Regions from separate parts of the Mus musculus genome. Here region 2 is reported to be linked to region 1. Evidence: microRNA targets listed by miRTarBase, many of them from high-throughput screens and not tested one by one. Region 1 holds a microRNA gene; the other region holds the end of a gene's coding sequence.
Evidence for each region. The annotated mature microRNA mmu-miR-759 reads GCAGAGUGCAAACAAUUUUGAC and lies in region 1 at 1,833-1,854, opposite strand. An mRNA with a match to its seed (bases 2 to 7 or 8) in the 3' UTR can be bound and repressed. Matches are read on the target gene's strand: a 7mer-m8 pairs with bases 2 to 8, a 7mer-A1 pairs with bases 2 to 7 and ends in A, and an 8mer does both.

Region 1 (4,068 bases):
GCAGCCAGAGCACATAACCACTGAGCCATCTCTCCATCCCGTGAACAAAATTAAAAAAAAAAAAAAAAAAAAAAAAAACAGCCATCTCCAGAAAGCTGTCTTCCTAATGAACTGAGTGGCACACTATTCCACATGGATGTGGGGCCCAAGGAGTTATTTCTGTTTGCTGTTCTTAGTTTAACACAGGATGTAAATCTAATTGGAACGGTTGTGATTCACATCTGGAATTTTCCAATGAATAACCCATTGCCTAATTGGCCCCTTGAGTTAACAAACGGTTGCTATTTGGTGACTGGGTTGTTTTTTTTTAATCTGGAACAACATTTTGTTGCATTTAGTTCAACATTCTTTTTAAATTTAATTTAATTTAATTTTAATTATTATTGCTGTTATTTTTGCACACAGAACAATGCTAGATATCAAAGGAAGGAATAAGAGAGGGATGGGGAATAAAGATAAAGGAGGTAAAGACTGGGAATGTAGTTCAGTTGAGAAGAACATTTTGCCCCAACTTTGCTCCCTAGCACGTCATAAATTAGACCTGTAACTCCAGGACTCGAGATGTGGAAAAGGCAGCTCTGGGTCATCCTCACCTACATAGAGTTCTGGGTTAGCCTGAGATACATGAAGTCTTTAAAAAAAAATCCCAAGAGATAAATAATATACTGTTTTCTACATAATAATATAATTAATATTATTTATAATAACATAAATAACATACAGTTTTCTGTCTCCAGAAACATGAGTGCTGTTTGTATGAATAAGAAATGAAATTGGACATGGAGCCAAAAATATCAGAATTAGAAGGAAAAGACAATGAATGCTATAGCAGGGGTCAGCCAGAGGCAAGAGAATAATTACACAGATTTACGAAGGAGCATTTGAAGGAGTGCAGATCATAAAGACAGAATAAAGTGCGGAGGTGAAGGAGAGATGGGCATTCCAGGTGGGCGGAGCAGCACATTAAAGACAGATTCAAGCAGACAGGCTAAGGAGGATGAAGTTAGAAGTGTAGACTGGGGTCAGATGGTGAGCAGCTTTGAACGTGGCTCTGCAGGCATTGGGGAGCTACCAAAGGCTTTGTAGTGAGAGAATGGAGTGCTCCCCTGCCAGCCCCAAATACCTGAGATACTTCTAAAAGAGAGTCGAACTGCTTTCCTATTTAAATCACTGCATTTGGGAAATAGATCACTTAGCCCTAATTTAGCACAAGAATGCCCTCATTTTACAAAGGAACCGGAAGCTTAGAGAAGACTTAGCCAGCATGCTCTATCAATCCGTAGCAGAACCAAGACCAGTCAAGAGAATCATGCCTGAGCATTCCCCCTGCCCCAAAAGGTGTGATGATGTAGTTGATGATGGTGGTGGTAGTGATTTGAGGGCAGTGGAGGCAATTATTTTGGGCAAGATGCCTTGTCATTCGTATCCCTCCTCCTCTGTACATTTTCCATTTTTAATGGAACATGAAACAGATTATCCACGTAATCACTTTAACCAATTATCTGTAGTTGATGAACTTCCCTGCAACTTAATTAGCAAAGTTGTTTCCCAGAGTAACAGTAGCACAGCATCATCTAAAAGTCACTTCAGAAAGATGGAACAATTCATTAACAATTACTAATGTCTGCAGGGTTGAAGGATGTACAGTGTTCATTTGGAGAACGAGGAAACCACACGTAATGGCTTTCTCCGTCCTGGTTTGTCGCGCTTTGTGTCCACGAGATGACTCACGTTGCCAAAGCCCGAGTTTAATTAGCATGCTTAGTCTGTGCTGCTACCTCCATTGGAACAAATTAAATGTTTAAACAGCCAGTGCAAACATTTAGATCTGAGTCAAAATTGTTTGCACTCTGCCAGTTTAGGCATTTAATTTATTATAATCCTGCCCATAATACATGCCTTGAAAGTCATTTTTTTGTGTGTGTGCTGAAAAATACCGTTCATATTCCAGCTGATGATATTGAATCTGATACTATCAGAATCTGATGTGAGAACTAATTTGGACCACAGACGAGGGTGATAAATGAGATAATGAACGGATCCTCCTCTGTCCTGACTTCCCCAATTGACCAGGTGATAACAAAGACAGGTGCCACCCCAGGGCCTGCCTTCTGCCCTGAGCATCTCTGCTGCAGCTGAGACTGGCTGCAGCCTGAAGAAACAGGAACCTTGCAAGGCTTTGAGCCGTTTCGTCTTAAAGAGCCCTCATGGAACCTGACCTCTTCTTCCCCGCAAATATTTTTTTTTCAGAATATAGAAATGTGCTGGCTTTCCGCAATTCCCCCTAAAGTTAAAGTGCACTGGTAAGAAAAAACTATAACAAAAGATCCATTGAAATAACACCAGATACAGTGGGAGAGGTTTCAGGCTGGCGGCCTAAGAGAGTGAGGAAGACAGTCCAGAAAAATGACCCTCTGGGGTCCCAGGTGACCACAAGGTGGCAGTGAAGGTCTACTGCGCCTGCCTATTGGCACCCCCCCCCAACCTCCACCCCCAAACCTGACTTCTATAATACCATGACCCTGGGTAACCTACCTCCTCCTCCCCAACTCACTTGAAAACACAGACATCTACTAATCCTAAGTAAGAGACAGTGGTGTGTTTGTGTGTGTGTCTGTGTGTGTGTGTGTGTGTGTGTGTCTGTGTGTGTGTGTGTGTGTGTGTGTGTGTGTGTGTGTGTGTGTGTGTGTCAGTCCACAACTGAATGTCAGAGGACAGCTTTGTAGAAGTCAGTTCTCTCCTTCCACCTAAGTGGGTTGTGGAGACGTAACTCCAAGTCGAGAGATTTACATGGCAAGTATCTTTACCTACTGAGCCATTTGGACAGTCCACTTTCACATTTTAATAAAGATTCCTTCTTGTTTTGTCACAAATATCTTGGAAACTGGAAAATGGGTGGAGCTACCTCAACAGCTCCTGCTCAAAGAAAATGTGTTGAGACAAAGAGAAAGATGTTAAGGACTGTGGTTATGCAAACACACTAGATCTCCCCTTCCTTAGTGATAGAAAGCAGTGGGGCTGCTTCCTCCTGTCCCAGACATCTCGTGCAGTGATCTTTCCAGACACAGAAGAGTAGATCCAAGCCACCTAGTCGGGAAGAGAATGAGATTCCGTTAATCGGCAAATGTTTTGTCAAAATATACCAGGCAAGGTCACTGGAAACTGATTGTTCTGTTTTGGGGAACTAATCAAGGGTCCTTCAAGACTGAAAATCTGGCTCTCTCAGCCTCCATTCCCTGCTTGGAGACCATTCAAGGTCTTCCCCTGAAACATTCCAGGCTGTTGGTATCTGAAGCCCAGTCGGATTCCATAGTGAAGCTCTATCTACCCCCAAGCCTGGCTGGTGGGGGAAGGGAAGAAATCCTGCCAATGTGCTATTTCTCAAAGCAATCAACCGTGAGCAGTACGGCTTTATTTTTTTATTTTTTTTTTTTCCAGACAGTGCTGTAGTTGAGACCCAGGAGAGGGTTTTCTGTGAAAGCCCGGTCTAGGAGGTGAGTATTCAGAATCTTATTTAGCCGAATGCTAACCGAGAGGACGAACTAAGAAATAAAAGATAAAAATCCTTTCCCAGGTAACATCTGTACTGAGGATTTTTTTTTTTTAATGCTTGAGGTTTGTGATTAGACTGTTTCAAACCACACTTTAGAAAGTTAGTTACAAGTAGCATCATGACTGAGAATTCACGATGAGCCGGACAGTAAGTTGCATGCTTGTAGCGACTCTTACTACAACCTTAATAAGGAAAAAAACCTGGCATTCTCCCCTCTGTGTGTAGATGCCCAAGCTGAGGTTTAGAGGGAAAGCTGGGTAGGTAGACTAGCCGGACTGCTAAGTACAACAGTCAGCTGAGAGACCCACCTGATGGAGGAAGATGCCCGAAGTCACATGTAAACAGCCACACTCACAGCTCCTCAAGGCAGTTTGTCTTAACTCCAAATCTCTGTTTAGTTTTTTTAGCAACCATTGAAGATGAGCTTTTTCTTAGCTGGGATGTATGGAATTAAATGTGTTTAATACTAATAAAATAAGACCAACTTACTAAAGTTCTTTATGGTAGACAAGACA
Region 2 (4,068 bases), not on the chromosome of region 1:
AATATATCAAGTTTACTGCTAAAAATCATATGAAGGAGGTTCTTTATAAAAACATCAAAAGAAGTTATGTTGCAGTAAAAAAAATGCTAATTTGAATTCTTGGAACAGTATTCTGGACCTTATGTTATCATGTGTGTTAAAATAATAAAAAAATAAAAGAATAAAAAAAAATCCACATTCGTTTCTGCTTCTCTTTTCTAGGAAAAAAACAAACTAGGTCACATCCCAAAATCTGCCTTCTGAAATCATAAAAATAAATGATAATAGCATAGGTTATTAAAATGACGGTTTAAGAAAGGTATTTTAGCACATAAGTGTTTTGCTCTGGATTCATTTGATATTTATAGGAGTTTGATTTGAAAAAAAAAAAGCAATCGCAGGACAACTTGTAGAACTATATGTTCATTCAAGGCTAAGCATTTGCATGTGCTTCCTGTTTTAGACAGAGATGCCTTCAAGTCCCAGAACACCTCCACAGGCATTTGTAACTTGCTATACCAACCAGTTCCTTCCTCTATGATGTTCATATAAGACTTTAAGACCCTATCACAAATGATAATTCTGGTAGTCAAACGTAACCAGCTTTCACATATGACTCTGTTTTGGAACTGATGAAATTTGTGATCAGAATTTTCAGAAAATTGACTAAAATCCACTCAATCCAAATAAGACTGGGCTGTTCCCCCTCCTCTTCTGGCTCCTCTTCTTGGTCTTCATCTTGGTCTTCCTCTCTGTCTTTCGCTACACCGTGAACTGCCCTACAAGCTGCACCGCAAAGTGTATGTGATTCAAATGATGCATTGTATAATTACTCATGCTTACTAACACGCCACCAGGCTTTGTTGAAGAGCCAAACAGTGAGGCATTCTAGGAGATTTTGTTGTTCTTTGTTTTTTGTTTTGCTTTTGACTGCATTAGCCAACTCCCCTGAACCAAGTAACCCCTGGCTCTGAAATGACAGTTTCTAAAGAAAACAGAGTCACTGTCAGCGGCAGCTGTGCTGTCTGGGGGACAGTCACAGCTTCGTTTCCTTCTGTCTGGATATCTTCCTCTGCCATTCTCTCCTTTGTGTTCTTGCTTATTGAAAATCCAACAATATGTATTTTTATTCAATAATAAACTTAACGTAGTACATAAGAATTCTGCCTTGCCCACTATAAACATTTGGCAAGTATATGCTTTTCTGTTTTTAGTCGAATTAAATATTAATGAAGTCAGTCTAATTCTAGTAACAATTTGTGATAGGTTTGGCTGTTACAAACTTTAGGCTTTGGAAAATTATGATATCACATTTAAATGAAGACTCTAAAATTATATTTCAAAGTAAAGTAATATTAAATGACTTCAAAGTATATAAATATAATCTTGAGGGGGCATAAGAAATTATCTAAAAAAAAGACAGGCCGAAATGGAGTTGGGAGACCTTTCAGGTGAGGAGATCAACTTGACCAATTTTTAATGGGAAGATCAGGGTACCCTGGCAGCTATTCTTATTTATACAGGGACTCTACGGGGATTACAGCAGTGAATTTCATTAAGGTTTCTATGTGACTGTTTCTGAGCTAAGAGATTACAAAACCCAAATAAAGATCATCCTTAGTTCATTTTATACATTTCAAAGAGTTATATTTGCTTGTTCAAAATTCTCCATGCAGGAGATGAACTGAGGTTTTAACTTTGAACCATCAGACTTCAACATCTGTATCAAGGTGTAGGATAGAAACTAGAGATATGCATTTAGAGTCTGCTTTGCCTGTTGCTGAATGTCCTAACAAAGACTTTGCATTCAATTAGAACAGAAAGGAAATATGGAACTGTTTGTTAAATAAACACTAACTTGTGGGTGGAAAACCCCTAAAGACAGACTTCAGTCCAAGAAATAATTACATGTAATAGTAAAATGGGTGGTGATGTTGCTATGGAGGAACAGGGAGTAAAGACAATAGATGGAAATGCTGGGGTCGGTGGAATAATTGACTTTTGTACTTCTCAGTAGAAGAAAAGTAATTTCTCCTTAGGAAAAATTGATGAGATTGCATAATTTACCCTGGAGTCTTTATAACATATGGTTTCTCAAATGAAGACACTCAGAAAAGGATGTCGACATCAGCCCATGATCCTGAGCCCTGACCTCAGACGTCTGCCAGACATCCTGAGTCTATAGTTTGCCTGTTTGGGAGAAAATGGGTTGGGTTGACTATTTCCTATGATCTAGTGGGAGAACACTGAGTGGACCTTCAGACTGTCAGCCAGAACCAATAAATAGTACACAGTTTGCTTTCTATCACCGAAGGGATGGGCATCACTTTGTCTTGTGGTATTCTGATGACTAAAGTATTCAAAATTCACTGTCCATGGGAGGTAGCAATTAGGAGACAATGATAATAAAATGCTTTGCTTTATGTAATTATACCTGTTGTTTCTTACAGAACCAGAGACATGGTGGCTGCAATGCCTGTTTTGTGTGACTTGCCCTAAGCATGGTATGCACTGTGATAGTGAGGACCTTTTATGGGAATGGAATGGAAAGGGTTATAACTGATAACATCTTGAAAGTTTTTTTTTTCTAGTTCTTTTTCTAATTTGTGATGGTTCATAGCTAAATGTTACTGTGTCTCACCATGTGTCAGACAATATATGCTGAGCATTTTAGTTGTATCCACAACCAGTATTATCTTCATCTTCATAGAGAAGAAACCATGCCTTAGGAAGAAGCATGAAAGCATCAAATTCGGTTAAGCAGGAAAGTGGCAAAGGCCAACTTCTATGTCTCCAAACCCTGTGCTCATAACTGGTTAAATTCACTATGTTCTGTGACCACAGACAGAACTCTTAATACAGTTGGCACTCTGGAAAAAAGTCACATCATTAGTGACAGGTAGAACTGAGTAAGAATGTACACGAAACTATGTTAACAATAGCCCTATTGATTGGGGTGAGGGAAAAAAGAAACAACTGAAAAAGTTTCAATAATTAATGTATATTATATATAATAGGCAATATGTAGTATACAATATACTACAATATACAGTACATATAAAGTATATATATACATAGTTTTTTGCTAAAATAAATTATCCGCGTATTGAAACAATAATCTTTGTAGGCCTGTGAGAAAATTGAGAATAAAATATGTTTAACTATAAAAATTCTAGAAGAGGCCGAGCGGTTGTGGCGCACGCCTTTAATACCAGCACTTGGGAGGCAGAGGCAGGTGGATTTCTGAGTTCGAGGCCAGCCTGGTCTACAGAGTGATTTCCAGGACAGCTAGGACTGCACAGAGAAATCCTGTCTTGAAAAACAAACAAACAAAAAACAAAAAAAACAGATAAACAAAAAAAAGTTCTAGAAAAGTATCATTAATATTGAAAGAAAAATGAAGGAATATAAAACTGCAAAGGCAGTTTAGAATACACTGCTTCTAAAGCAGGGTTCATCGATATTACACCTAATTCCTTGTTAAACCTTATGTGAAATACTTCATGAAAAAATGAGTTTACATATTATTACATCTTTATTTTTATTAAAATTTAATAATTTAAACAACATACACAGTTTAATTATATAGGAGAACAGTTTGCATTATCATTAAAATTCTAAATATTCTAAGAAAATGCCTTCCCGCCTATGAAATCACACAGCCTCCTTTGAGTTCCTTGAAGGGGTTTTTGTCTTCTGGAATCCCCTTCACTAGAGGGTCTTCTCCAGACCTTTCTTCAATATAATCTCTCACTTCTTCACAACATTTGGAAACCTTAAAAGGAAGGAGACAGAGATAACTCAGAATAAGAACAGAATTCTGCAGACGATACAAATGTATTTATTACAATATATTTCTATGTCACAGCTTTTGAAGATGATTCCATCTGTTTTCTGCCATTGCACACGTCTTTTCCAGGGTGGGAAAAAATCATTCCCACACTTCCCTTTTAGATGTCTCCAGAAGATAGAAAGCTGACCCTTGAGCTAACATTTCCTAACAGGCCCTTCCTCTAACTTTGTCAAGGAAACACAAGTGGGAGATTTCTCCAAAGTATGTCTCTCTTCTCTTCCTAAACCTTTAGTGTG

Region 2: miRTarBase lists Gngt1 as a target of mmu-miR-759. Seed matches in the 3' UTR shown: 7mer-m8 at 3,248-3,254.

What each region holds. Positions count from the first base shown.
Region 1 is chr14:79,736,246-79,740,313 of GRCm38, reverse strand. Mir759 (microRNA 759) reads right to left here and starts at 1,883; the gene lies at 1,786-1,883.
Region 2 is chr6:3,996,338-4,000,405 of GRCm38, reverse strand. It overlaps Gngt1 (guanine nucleotide binding protein (G protein), gamma transducing activity polypeptide 1), which reads right to left. Exons shown (of 3, transcript NM_010314.3): 3 at 2,970-3,754. The coding sequence ends at 3,626. Among named protein-coding and RNA genes, the nearest start is that of Gngt1, 4.4 kb to the right of the region's middle.